3 linked regions of the Oryctolagus cuniculus genome follow. The protein of the gene in region 1 binds, or shares a complex with, the protein of each later gene. Links are inferred from orthologs where the notes say so. Each region holds a gene or a part of one and is shown in the gene's direction. Other genes may lie near its edges.

Evidence for each region. The genes of interacting proteins can lie anywhere in the genome.
Region 2: UXT (region 1) and PDRG1 share a complex: the UniProt entries of both Homo sapiens proteins name them as parts of the PAQosome complex. The link is inferred for Oryctolagus cuniculus from reciprocal best matches to the Homo sapiens genes UXT and PDRG1.
Region 3: UXT (region 1) and ASDURF share a complex: the UniProt entries of both Homo sapiens proteins name them as parts of the PAQosome complex. The link is inferred for Oryctolagus cuniculus from reciprocal best matches to the Homo sapiens genes UXT and ASDURF.

Annotation. Positions count from the first base shown.
Region 1 is NC_091453.1:33,164,711-33,168,978, reverse strand, and holds the start of UXT (protein UXT), read left to right. Parts: upstream 1-1,462; 5' UTR 1,463-1,490; exon of another isoform or gene 1,491-1,667; 5' UTR 1,668-1,676; coding exon 1,677-1,774; intron 1,775-2,696; coding exon 2,697-2,778; intron 2,779-2,951; coding exon 2,952-3,019; intron 3,020-3,291; coding exon 3,292-3,399; intron 3,400-4,268. UniProt on the Homo sapiens protein: Involved in gene transcription regulation. Acts in concert with the corepressor URI1 to regulate androgen receptor AR-mediated transcription. Together with URI1, associates with chromatin to the NKX3-1 promoter region.
Region 2 is NC_091442.1:25,802,956-25,807,124, forward strand, and holds the start of PDRG1 (p53 and DNA damage-regulated protein 1), read left to right. Parts: upstream 1-1,362; 5' UTR 1,363-1,506; coding exon 1,507-1,593; intron 1,594-2,776; coding exon 2,777-2,852; intron 2,853-4,169. UniProt on the Homo sapiens protein: May play a role in chaperone-mediated protein folding.
Region 3 is NC_091434.1:50,691,746-50,695,767, reverse strand, and holds the start of ASDURF (ASNSD1 upstream open reading frame protein), read left to right. Parts: upstream 1-1,215; 5' UTR 1,216-1,413; coding exon 1,414-1,503; intron 1,504-2,958; coding exon 2,959-3,012; intron 3,013-4,022.

The DNA of each region.
Region 1 (4,268 bases):
AACGAATTAAAATGTAAATTTATTCTGGTGCGAAAAACTTTTGAAAGCCATGCATACACGGAGTCTTCAAAAAGTTCATGGAAATTGCACACTATGAAGAAATTATAAATGGATTTCAAAAATTTTGAACCAAACCAATCTTATTTTTCTTTACGTTATTTATTTATTTTCATTTTATTTGAAAGTCAGACAGAGTGATCTTCTATCCTCTGGGATACTCCCCAAATGCTGGCAAAAGCAAGGACTAGGCCAGGCTGAAATAAGGAGTCCAGAACTTCATCTGAGTCTCTTACATATTTTACGGGACCCAACTATGTCAGTCATCATCTGCTGCCTCCCAGGGTATGCATTATCAGAAACCTGGATCCAAAGTGAAGGAGCTGGGACTCGAACCAGGCACTCCACCAACATGTGATGCTAGTGTTCCAAGCAGGGACTTAACCACGGTTTAATTCTATTTTCCCACAAACTTTTAAAAGAACTCTCATGTCAAAACAAAACAAAACAAAACAAAAAAAAAAAAAAACAAAAAAACTCAATGTTCCTTTTACAGTCACTTTTTCCTGAAGGCAAAGAAAAGCTTAACAAACAGGTTTGAGAATTTGGAAAGGACAACCGAACTTTTACACGCAAATTACTTGGGAAGACTTCACAAGTAAGGGTAAGGACTCTAGGCTCTAGATATGGGAATAGCATTTGGGGGTGCGAGCATCTGAATTCTCCTCTGGGCTCAGGCCAGGACTTGCTGGGTTAGATGCTAAAGATGCAAAATACAGGCATTCAATCACTTGAGTGCATACAAAGAAAAAGCTTGCCCATTTAATTAAACACACGGGATTATTCCTAAGTACAAAATAGCAGATCTTTTGCAAACGACTCAGGGACCCTCCATTTGACTAATAAAATGAGATGCTTACACATAGTATTGCCAATCTCTGCTTAGCTCCAGTCATAGATTGTGGGCCACAGAGCTGCAATCCTCAAAGAGGAATTCTAGAAAAATGCGTCTCCATTAAAAAGTTTTTAAATGCTCATACTCGTTCCCATCACCGGGAGTGAAACGCGAACCTCTCGGGTGAAGTCAAGATGTGACTTGCCTGTCCGCCTCCCAGGCTCTGCCTTTTAAATACTAAACGCTTCATTCCCTAGCTCTACCTCCACCTGTGCGTTCTACCTCCCCTGGAAACCGCCAAATCCACAAAAGCCGCGAACAGTCCCCACAGGCTCCACGCGCTGCTTGTGCAGTTTCCAATAGGCTAGTTCATTGCCAAAGGATCTCTGCTCCCACGCCCTACAGTCCTACCTGATCTCCTTTGATTCAGTAAAGCCCTGACCTTCTCTTTTTCCCCTTGGCGGGTCTTACTTCCTTTCAGGACCGCCCCTCCCCACCTGCTTATTTGGTTGGTCAGCGCGCTTGTTATACGTCATTCACCCGCGCCACCCGGAAGCCGCGGTTATACCAACCCGTTCTTATCGCCGGCGGCCCTCAGGTAAGGGCCGCATTTTGGTATCCCTGGGTGGCCGAGTCCTAGAGTTGGGAAGGGCAGAAGGCGGAACCCCCAGCAGGACCCGAACGTGCCCATTTCCCAACGTTGAGAGGGTGGAGATGACCTGCATGAGTCCATACTGAAGTGGTCAACGTGGTCTTCCCTCTGCTCATTCCCCAGGAGCCCATAATGGAGACGCCCCCTAAAGGGCGGGTGGTTGAGGCCACGGGAGAGAAAGTTCTGCGCTATGAGGCCTTCATCAGTGACGTGCTGCAGCGGGACTTGCGGTGAGTGACAGCGAGAGGGGCGGGGCCTTCAGAATAGTCCACGTGGTGGGTGGGGCGTTTAAAGTCGGGGGCCAAGCCTTCAGATTGGTGGGCGAGACGTTCGGAGCCCGTCACCACGCGCCATTCGAAGGGGAAAGGAGGAGCGACTTCCGGGGTGCGATTTGGCTAGGACGTGGCGTTCATAGGGCGTGTCTGCGCATGCGCGGTCCCGATGTTGCTTAATGGATTAAGGGCCAAATTCCAGATCCACAGTTCTGGGGTTTGAGTTCTGGCTCGGCTACCTGCCATCCGTGTAAACATCGCACCTTGCCCCTCCTTTCTGTGCCTTATAAATTTCTCAAATCAGTAAAATGAGGAAGTTTATTACGGAACCTTATTCATGCAGTGGTTGAGTTTAAAAAAGTGTGATGCCTGAAATATGTTAAAGGTTCAAGGAATGTGAAAAGCTATTATTACTAATCTGAGCAGGAAGTAAGGCTTAGACTATGAGCATCCCGAAAGGGGTGGAGGATTTTTCTAGGGTGAAGATGAGACATAGAGATTGACATTTGGGAGTAAAGTGTAATAATAGTAAGAGCTAACACGTATATAAAGCTTATCATTTGGAAGACATCATTCTAAGTGTCTTATAGTAAACATTCATTTAATCCCAGTGCCTCCGTGAGGTTAGAATGCCACTCCTATTTTGTAGATGAGAAAACTGCATATAGAACAGTTTACTTAGTGAAGTCACACCACTAGCAAAGGGTAGAACCCAGATTCAAACCCAGGCAGTCTGACCCAGTGTCCAGAATTTTAACTTCTACACTAAAAGGCCTACTTAGAGCATGGTAACTGGAGCACCTCAAAGAATCATGGTATAAGGTTTCCCAAGGAGGACAAAGCTGCCTGTTGGTCACCATTTGTACTTTTGTCCCATCAGAAAGGTGCTGGACCATCGAGACAAGGTATATGAGCAGCTGGCCAAATACCTTCAGCTAAGAAATGTCATTGAACGACTCCAGGTAGATATATCATGGTTGGGTACTGTTTTTTTTTTTTTTTTTCATTTGGTTTTGGTATGTGTGTGATGGGGGGAGCATGGGAAGGAACTGAGAAGAGAGACCCTAGACCAAAACCTGTCACCTGACCTACAAATTGACCACTGACCCCTACCTCTTTTTCCCTGGCCCCACAGGAAGCTAAGCAATCGGAGTTATATATGCAGGTGGATTTGGGCTGTAACTTCTTCGTTGACACAGTGGTGTGAGTGTCTACCCGCCCTTCTGAGCCCTTCCTTCATGCAAGATATTTTTTTTTTACCATCTTCTATGTACCAAACACTGTGCTAGATTTTACATACCTTAGGACATAACCTAAGTACTGGGAATATGACAAGAAATAAAATAGAATAAAGTCCCTGTCTTCCCAGAGTCTCAATTTGGGGAAGGGGAGGGAGTAAAAAATTAACTAAACTGTATGGTATGATAAACAGTAATAAGGATGTCTTCCACTTCCTCTAACCTCTCTCTCCTCAGCTCAGATACTTCACGCATCTATGTGGCCCTGGGATATGGTTTTTTCCTGGAATTAACACTGGCAGAAGCTCTCAAGTTCATTGATCGTAAGAGCTCACTCCTCACACAGTAAGTGCATTCTTGAAGGTAGTATCTAAAACACCCCACCATTTTTTTAAAGAATTTATTTATTTTATTTGAGAAGTAGAGTTACAGACAGTGAGAGGGAGAGATAGGGAGAAAGGTCTTCCTTCTGTTGGTTCACTCCCCAGATGGCTGCAACTGCTGGAGCTGCGCAGATCCAAAGCCAGAAACCAGGTGCTTCTTCCAGGTCTCCCACGTGGGTGCAGGGGCCCAAGCACTTGGGCCATCTTCTATTGCTTTCCCAGGCTATAGCAGAGAGCTGGATTGGAAGTGGAGCAACCGGGACTAGAACTGGTGCCTATATAAGATGCCGGCGCCACAGGTGGAGGATTGACCTGTGCCATTGCATTGGCCCCAACACCCCACCATTTTCAACACTCTTCTCCCTTAAGTTAGAGACCTACCTCCGTTCCTCCTCTGGGCTGTAGCTGAGGAAAGGGGATGCAAAGTTCAGCCCCAGGTATAGCACATAATAAACACTCCAGTAAGGGAGCTTTGTATCATTCATTCACACAAACATATTGGGCATCTTCTGTTTACCACACTCTGTGCTTGACAGTGGAGATGCCCCAGGGAACAAGACAGAAGAGTTTCTTGAGAGCTTACATTCTAGAGGGACTGTATTATTAGACCTAAATACAACTATGACCGGATCCATGAGGCCTCAGCCTGTAAATCAGTAACAGTAAAACAGGTTACCTCTAATTTAACATGTTCATTTTCCTGCTCATTGCTGTGCTCTTGCCACAGTGACTTGCACATGCTGCTTTAAATGTCCCAAGAATGCTCTCACCTCAGGGCAGATGCCATGGCTGTTTTCTCTGCTTGCAGTGCTCTTTCCCCAGTACTCCTGT
Region 2 (4,169 bases), on another chromosome or scaffold:
GCTACAACGCTGGGCGGTAAGGATGCTGTCTGGATGAAGGTTGCTGTGGGATACAGGAAAGGCAGAGGGGCCGAGAGGGTGGGCCAAGAGCCAAGAACAAAAGGCTGGAGTCACCAGCTTCCTGCTAATGCAGACCAAGCAAGGCAGCAGTGACGGCTCAAGTCCTTGGGGTGAACTCCCAGCTCCTCGCCTTGGCCTGACCCAGCCCTGGCTCATTAAGGCATCTGGGGAGAGAACCTCTGTCTGCCTACCTCTGTCTCTCTCTGCTTCTTGAATAAAGGTTACACTGGATTCAGGGAGGCAGGGAGGTCAGAGTCTAGATCAGGTCTGCTGTTAATGCTTTTTAAAGAGATTGATTTATTATTTATTTGAAAATCACAGTTACACAGAGAGAGAAGGAGAGACACAGAGAGAGAGAGAGGTCTTCCATCTGATGGTTCACTCCCCAATTGGTCGCAATGGCTGGAGCTGCGCCAATCTGAAGCCAGGAGCCAGCGGCTTCTTCCAGGTCTCCCATGCAGGTGCAGGGGCCCAAGGACTTGGGCCATCTTCCTCTGCTTCCCCAGGCCAGAGAGCTGGGTTGGAAGTGGAGCAGCCAGGACTCAAACCAGTGCCCATATGGGATGCCGGCACTCCAGGCAGCAGTTTTACCTGCTACGCCACAACGCCGGACCCTGCTGTTAACTTTTCAAAGTCCTTCCTTCCCTGATTTCCCAGCCATTCCATGAAGGGGAAGGGCATGAAGAGCCCTAGGGAGCCTCCTGGTTCTGCTGGGAGCCACTTGCACCCACCTGCCTCCTCTGGGTGCCCTCCTGGATCCCATGACCCAACACCAATTCACTGTCCAGTGCATGCAGACCTCTTTTCTGACTTGGAGCTTCAAGGGTCGCTGCCCATAGTTTCCAGCCCCTCCTTTATGTCTAGGTCAGCAACTCTGGACATCGGACCCAACAGAGGGATTCAACAAACACGGGTCAAACAAAAAAAAATTCACTGCTTCCTCCGAAGACCATGAGGGGATTCCTAGGCCTCTTTATTCATAACCGGGAAGATGACGGTGTCTCAGGTTAAACATAAGTCCCACTGCCACACGGGCTTGACTTCCACTTCTGCAAAGCCTTTACCACTACCCACCATGGCGTATAATTATTTGTCAGTGTTTCCCACTAGTTTCTTTATTCACTGCCAACTGCCTGGCATCTAGTGGGTGCATAGGAAATATTAGTAGCGGGGAGGACCGGGAAGGGTAGGAGGCAGCGCTCTCTGCCGATTGTGTTCTTTGGGCCTGCAGGGGGCGCTCCAAACGCGCTCCTCAAAGAGAGGCCCCGCCTCTGGCGTTCCGTCAACGCGCGTGCGTCGGAGCCAGCGCGCCACAGTGCTTCTTTTGATTGCGCAGGCGCGCCGGAAGCCCTGTCCGGACGGCGCGTGCGCGGAGGAGTCGAATCGGCGCCGGAGCAGAGCTTGAACCTGGTGGCGTTTGAACTGCGGTGGTAGCTGCCGGGTGCCATGCTGTCCCCCGAGGCGGAGCGAGTGCTTCAGTACCTGGTGGAGGTGGAGGAGCTCGCGGAGGAGGTGCTGGCGGACAAGCGGCAGGTAGGAGGCCGGGCCGCGGCGCTGGGGCCCGGCGGCCAGCGCGTAGGGCAGCGCGCGGGGCCCGTGGATGGACCCGGGCCGGTGGCCTGAGCTCCGCCACCACAGGCGCGGGCGGCCGTGGTAACGTGAGTCGGACGCTGGCTGGCGTTAAGTGGGCGTTCAGTCTGGCTCCGTCCCTGTCTGCCCCGTAGCGTGTCCTCCGGGTCCTGACCCATTACCGCTTCGGGCCGGTTTCTCGAGCACCTGTTTCAAAAGGCAGTTCCCGCGCCTCGCCGCGAGTCTGGCCGCGCTGGGCCGGTCAAGGCCCCGAGGGGAGAAGAAGGGCAAAGAGGAGGTCACGGGGGCTGCCCTGGTCGCTGAGGGCGCTGCAGGCCTGCCCAGGCGGCGTGGGTCGGGTTCTGATTTAAGTGCCACGCTTCTAAAGAGAGTTCACGGGGAAGGGGTGGGTAAAAAGCTGGACCTAGGCTTTAGGATATTCCCGCAGCTGTGCGGATTATAGGAGGGCGAGGATGGAGGCCAGGAGACCAGCGAGGGGCGTTTGCCGCTCCAGGTTTTGGTGCTGGCGAAGTGGATGGATCAGGAGGCAGTGGCAGGTGAGGAAGTGGGAATTGAGTGGTCCGCGACTCCCTGTCGTCTTCAGGTAGTGCTTGAGTGGCTGGTCCTGTGTTTACCGAGAGAGGGAAGACCTGGGGAGGAGTCGGGCTGAGTACTGCCTCCGGCGTGCGGGCCGAGAGGAACAGTGGCAGGTGCTCCCGACGGTTGTTCAGGGGAGCACATAGGAAGATGAAAGTGCCCAGCTCGCGGTGCCCAGCAGGAGTCCTCGGTGTGCTGTGCTCCGGCTCGCCAGCCCAGCCGGGCACCCCCGCCTCCTCACTGCTTAGCAGCCAGCGTGGTGCTTTCTCACCATACCGAGTCGGAGTCAGCGGGAGTACTTTGTCCAGCACCCGAGCTGCTTAGGCCTGCTTAATCAGAGTGTGGGGAGGCGTCAGATGCCCCTGGTGATTCTGGTTTAGTTACTGCAGAATCGCCCACTTAGCAGACATTTGCCAGCCCCTGTGGGGTGGGCGGCACCTGGGCACAGCGTTGTGTTTAGGAGGGGAAAGACGTCAGCAGCCCCGTGTCTGTCGGGATGTGCCAGCTTGGGCAGGAGGTAGCTGAGAGCCCCTGTCCCTGTGCTTTGCAGATTGTGGACCTGGACACCAAAAGGAATCAGAACCGAGAGGGCCTGAGGGCCCTGCAGAAGGAGCTCAGCGGCTCTGGTGAGTGGAGACTTCCTGCCCGCCGCCCTGTACCGAATGGAAACGCGTTTATCCCATAGTTTGTATAATTGTGACGTATCAGTTAGATGAAACCTCCATAGAGGCCTTCATCGTGCCCCCGGTGGAGACCAGGCGGGAGGCCGCAGATGTGGACGCAGCCTAGTGGGTGCTGACACAGCCTGGCCGGGGATTCCCGCTGGGCGCCTTAGTGGCGGGCTGCCAGCTCCTCATCAGCTGTGGCAGACTGCGCTGGGGTCCATCAAGGCGACAGCCGCTGCCCTTGTACTCTGGTGAGAAACACAGCAGAAGACGTGTAGGTGCAAGTCGGGAGGCGGCTAAGAATGGGCCTGGACGTGGGGCGGGTGCTGAGTATCTCAGAAGCAGAGCTCTGTAGGTGAGGCCAGAGTTCAGGGGGTGGCAGGGCGGGTGAGAGAGCAGAGACCCCGCCGTGATGAAGGGCCGAGGGGCCAAGGGAAGAAGTTTGTGTTCTGTTTGAAGGGCGCTGCAATGTGTACAGCCTTCCCGTTGCTTCTCCTGGCACGGAAGTAAAATCCAGAGTCATCCTGTAAGACCCCGTGTAGCCCAGCGTCCACCCCGCAACTGTCCAGTATTCTCTCTCTCACGAGCTCCAAACCCGTGCGTCTCCTGCCTGTTGTGACACCTCCAGCACATTTCTGATCTTTTTTTTTTTTAAGATGTATTTATGGCCGGAGCCGCGGCTCACTAGGCTAATCCTCCGCCTGTGGCGCCGGCACCCCGAGTTCTAGTCCTAGTCCCAGTTGGGGCGGCGATTCTGTCCCGGTTGCCCCTCTTCCAGTCCAGCTCTCTGCTGTGGCCCGGGAGTGCAGTGGAGGATGGCCCAAGTGCTTGGGCCCTGCACCCACATGGGAGACCAGGAGAAGTACCTGGCTCCTGGCTTTGAATCGGCACAGTGCGCCGGCTGTAATGCACTGTCCTTAGCGGCCATTGAGGGGTAAACCAACGGAAAAAGGAAAACTTTTCTGTGTCTCTCACTGTCTAACTCTTCCTGTCCAAAAAAAAAAAAAAAAGATTTATTTATTTGAGGGGCCGGTGCTGTGGTGCAGTGGGTTAACACCCTGGCCTGAAGTGCTGGCATCCCATATGGGTGCTGGTTCGAGACCCAGCTGCTCCACTTCTGATCCAGCTCTCTGCCATGGCCTGGGAAAGCAGCAAAAGATGGCCCAAGTCCTTGGGCCCCTGCACCCACGTGGGAGGCCCAGATGAAGCTCCAGGCTCCTGGCTTCGGATTAGCACAGCTCCAGCCGTTGCGGCCAATTGGAGAGTGAACCAGTGGAT
Region 3 (4,022 bases), on another chromosome or scaffold:
CTGCTGTGGCCTGGGAGGGCAGTGGAGGATGGCCCAAGTGCTTGGGCTCCTGCACCCTCATGGGAGACCAGGAAGAAGGCTCCTGGCTTCGGATTGGCACACCACCGGCCATGGTGGCCATTTGGGGAGTTAACCAACAGAAGAAGGACCTTTTCTCTGTCTCTCTCACTGTCTATAATTCTACCTGTCAAAGAAATTAAAAAAAAATAAAGAAGCCTGTTCTAAATTTCAGATAGACAGATACATGGAGAAACATAAAAATTTACCAGTCCAGACCTCATATAACTTTTCTTACTAGAAGACCCGATGAAAGATATGCTAGGGCTTAAAAAAAGCCACCAAGTACATCTATTAAGTCACACAATTTGTCTACATCTCATAAGTGCACTTAAGCATCTCCATAGAACATCGTGATTCCCAACACTGGAATATAATTTTCAAATATGTGGTCTCATATGCAAATATAAAATAAACACATATCATGGTTTTATTTAACTCATTAGTAAATGAGGAAACCAGTCAGATATGAAAATCAATTCAAAGAGCATTTGAAAAGCAAGGAATTTATCAGTCAAGAAATGTCAGACAGGACCTCAGTGTTACATACATAACTGATTAATGTCTTCCAGATAATAAATCATAACCTTGGAAGTATCTTATTGACCTAGTAGAAATTATTAGCATTTTTACCAGTCAAAAATCCACACGTTTGCCTCTGCTTTTGTCCCCTGCCTGCACCAGGTTGTAAAACAGTTCAGTTCATTGAAAGTCAATCCTAGAACAGCACTGAAAGAACATCAGGTAATCTCTTGCCTATTTCCAACTTTTGGTCATTTTTTTTTTTGCAAGAATGAGACATTACAAATATTGCATAGGATGTACACTAATAAAAGTATTCATTCACCTGAAATTCGTATAAAATTGTATTTAGCTGAAAACCCTAGTTACAAATTAACAAAAACTTTTCCAATTCTGTAGGGTTCGGTTGCCAACATTGTGTCTATGAAATCTGTGCTTTAGTTCAGGATCTGACTGGTTAATAACTAATTGGTGTTTCTACTGCGCGTCTGTTCTTTATTTGCACCAATAGGGGGCGCGTGTAACTTGTAGTCCAAGAGCCCACAAAAGTGTTTCTACCTCCGATCCGCTGGGGGTCGGCGTATGAATTGCTTAGATTTCGCAACCGGGCTCGAAACACTGGCGCTCTAGGCATTTGTGCGCATGCGTAGAACCGCTCTTGGCGAGGGGGCGGGGGCGTCAGGCCCGGACTGCGCAGGCGTTGGAGTGAGCGCGCGGAGGAGGTTGGTGAGACCTCTGCAAGGCAGGTGACGCTGCCGGCGCTGTGGCTGGGGCGGTCGGTGGTGGGACTCTCGGGAGCTCTGGTGAATCCTGCGTGTCTGCGGCTGGTTGGAGATGCCCGGCCGGGGCGTGCACCCGGAGGACAGCGCTGTGCCGGTCCCCGCCGGCGGCCGGACCTTACACAAGGAGGATCTTTGCAACAAGGTGGGCGTGGGACGCAGCGAGCAGGCCTCCCGGGCTTAGGACCCGGCGCCTGGGGCAACCCAGAGAGGGCCGGCCGCGAGCAGCGCGGGGCTTCGCTGGAGACGGCCTCGGCTTGCGCTGCTCTGCTGTTGGTAGCAGTCGGCACTTCCCCTTCCCTGGAAGTAGTCGCGCTAAGCGTCTTGTGGGCTGAGTTTCCGCGGCCCTTCCAGATCTGTAGCTCACCCCTTCCGTTACCCCTGCCAGCGGCATGGGCTCATCCTTGACGTCGGTCTACACCTGAAACCCACTTCCGGTACGAGTGTGACTTTAGTCCCGAGGACGCACGCTCCTGCGTCCCTGAACGAGCCGCCCTCATCGGCTGCCCCGGACCCCCGCAAAGGGCTCCCTAGCCCACCTGCTGCCTTCTCTGTTCCCCGCTGTAGCCGCAGTGGCCGCCCTAAACCTCGCACATCTGATTGTCACTCATCTGCGGAGAAAGAGGGGGAGGGGAGCCACTCTGATACTGACCTGAACTGCCGGAAACAGGTGCAACCTTTAAACGTGTGGAGGAGGGAGTTCAATGTCCTGCATTCTTCACTGGTTCTGCTCCAAGCTAGTAGTGGTGTCTTGGACAGACCTCTCTGTTCTCTCTGCATCACAGCTTCCTTCTTTGGTGGGAAGTGAAATACAGACCTGACATCCCTAAACTGCACAAGAAAGCACTGTGGTACAAGCGTTAAGTCTCAAAGAGGGGGAGGGTATAGTTTCAACCTTGGAAGTCAGCCTTATCCTGTCCCTTCTGCAGCTGTGTCAGCTCTGGAGACAACAAGGGGGAGACTCATGGGGCAGGGAGTGAATTTGCAAAATACAGCCCACTCTGCTGCCGACCTATGGCAGATCCCTCAAGTGTGTGGTGCAGTGTAAAAATCTTACATCTGGTTTTAGAGGCGCTGGTGATGTTAGGTAATAGATCGTGTTCATAAAATAGCCAGTTACTAGAAAGTATCAGAAAGTTTGCACTTACTTGAGTTCTCTCCTGAAATTGAAAAGTGAAGCCAGCACTGTGCAAAGAAGATTGATGCCAAGACAGGGGGATTTAGAACTACTTGGTTAAAAGGACTGTCTAGCCGCACCATTTAGTACACAAATCGTCAGAGACTGGTATTACTTCTGGTGCATATCGTCTGTTTGTATAGGCCTTGTTCAGTAACTGTGGCCACAGGCATGAAGGCCGGTTGCCAACATCAAACCCACTGGCTGGGCTCCGTGGGTTGTGTGACATTTAGATGTCTAATGCCCATTTCCCCCTCCACCTGTGCACACATAGACTGGAAAGAATCTTCTCAGACTGCCCATTTGGACAATCAGCGCATGATACCTTCTTACGCCATCTGCCTAATTTTAAAGCCGTCATCTAATTGAACATGTTTTTAAGAGTTAAAATTCTGTTTTAAGCGTTTCTCTTTATTTCAGTAGATTAAAGAACAAAAAGTCGTTGTGGATGAACTTTCTAACCTGAAGAAGAACAGGGTGAGTTATAGAAATTCTGAATAGTATGTGGGAAGCTTGGTTATATTTATATTATATAAAATCATAAAAGTTGTATGGAAGGTTTATATAAAGGTTGACAAGTTTTCGGCATCTCTTTAAATTGCAAAAGCCCAGTGCCTACGTTTATTTTAAACTGTACGTACATAGATCTCATAAAGCTGAAGATGTCTCTTCCTTTTCATATGCCATTTACACGACCTTTAAAGCTAATGACGCAGATTGGATTTTGGTATCTTCAAGCTGTACCACTAATGTAACTATTTTATGCTTGAATTTGGTGTGTATTTTTGAAATAAATGAACTTAAAGTTTATTGAGAAGAAACTATCCCTTAAAGTAAATGTTGAACAAAAAATTACTTCTCTCACCGCCCCCCCAAAATCTTCTCAGTGCTTAGCATTATTTTTAAATGCAATTTCTGTGTATATATTCATAAGCAAGCCATCTTTGTTGCTTCATGTGTAGTTATACATTAAACTACATTAAAATTACATTTTAATGTTCAGGAGTAAATGACTTTGAGCTCTTTCAAGCGCCTAAAGATTATAACTGACAGATTAGACATTTCTGATATTGTTGCCAGCTACAAAGATGTCCATCACAACACTGATCTATAATACTTGAGGGACAGTAATACCTTAAATGTCTAACATTTGAGGATTGAGCAAATAAATGTAGTATGTCATACGATGATATTATAAAGGAATACATATTGATAAGAAAAAGTGTTCTTGATATAGTCATTGTAAAACTATAGATGATAGTAGAAGCCTTTTTTATTAAAATAACAGTGGTATTATGGTTTACAAGGGAAAAAAACAAGTTTCACCTCACTGGTAATGATAATAGTGTCTGGGTGGCAGGATGGTTGGTAACTTTTATTTGTCTCTTTGTTATCTGTATTTACTAAAGTAAATTCCCAAAGTTTACAAGTATGTAGTAGTAGGATTCAAAGATTTGACATCTTTTTAGATCATATCTTGAGTTTGG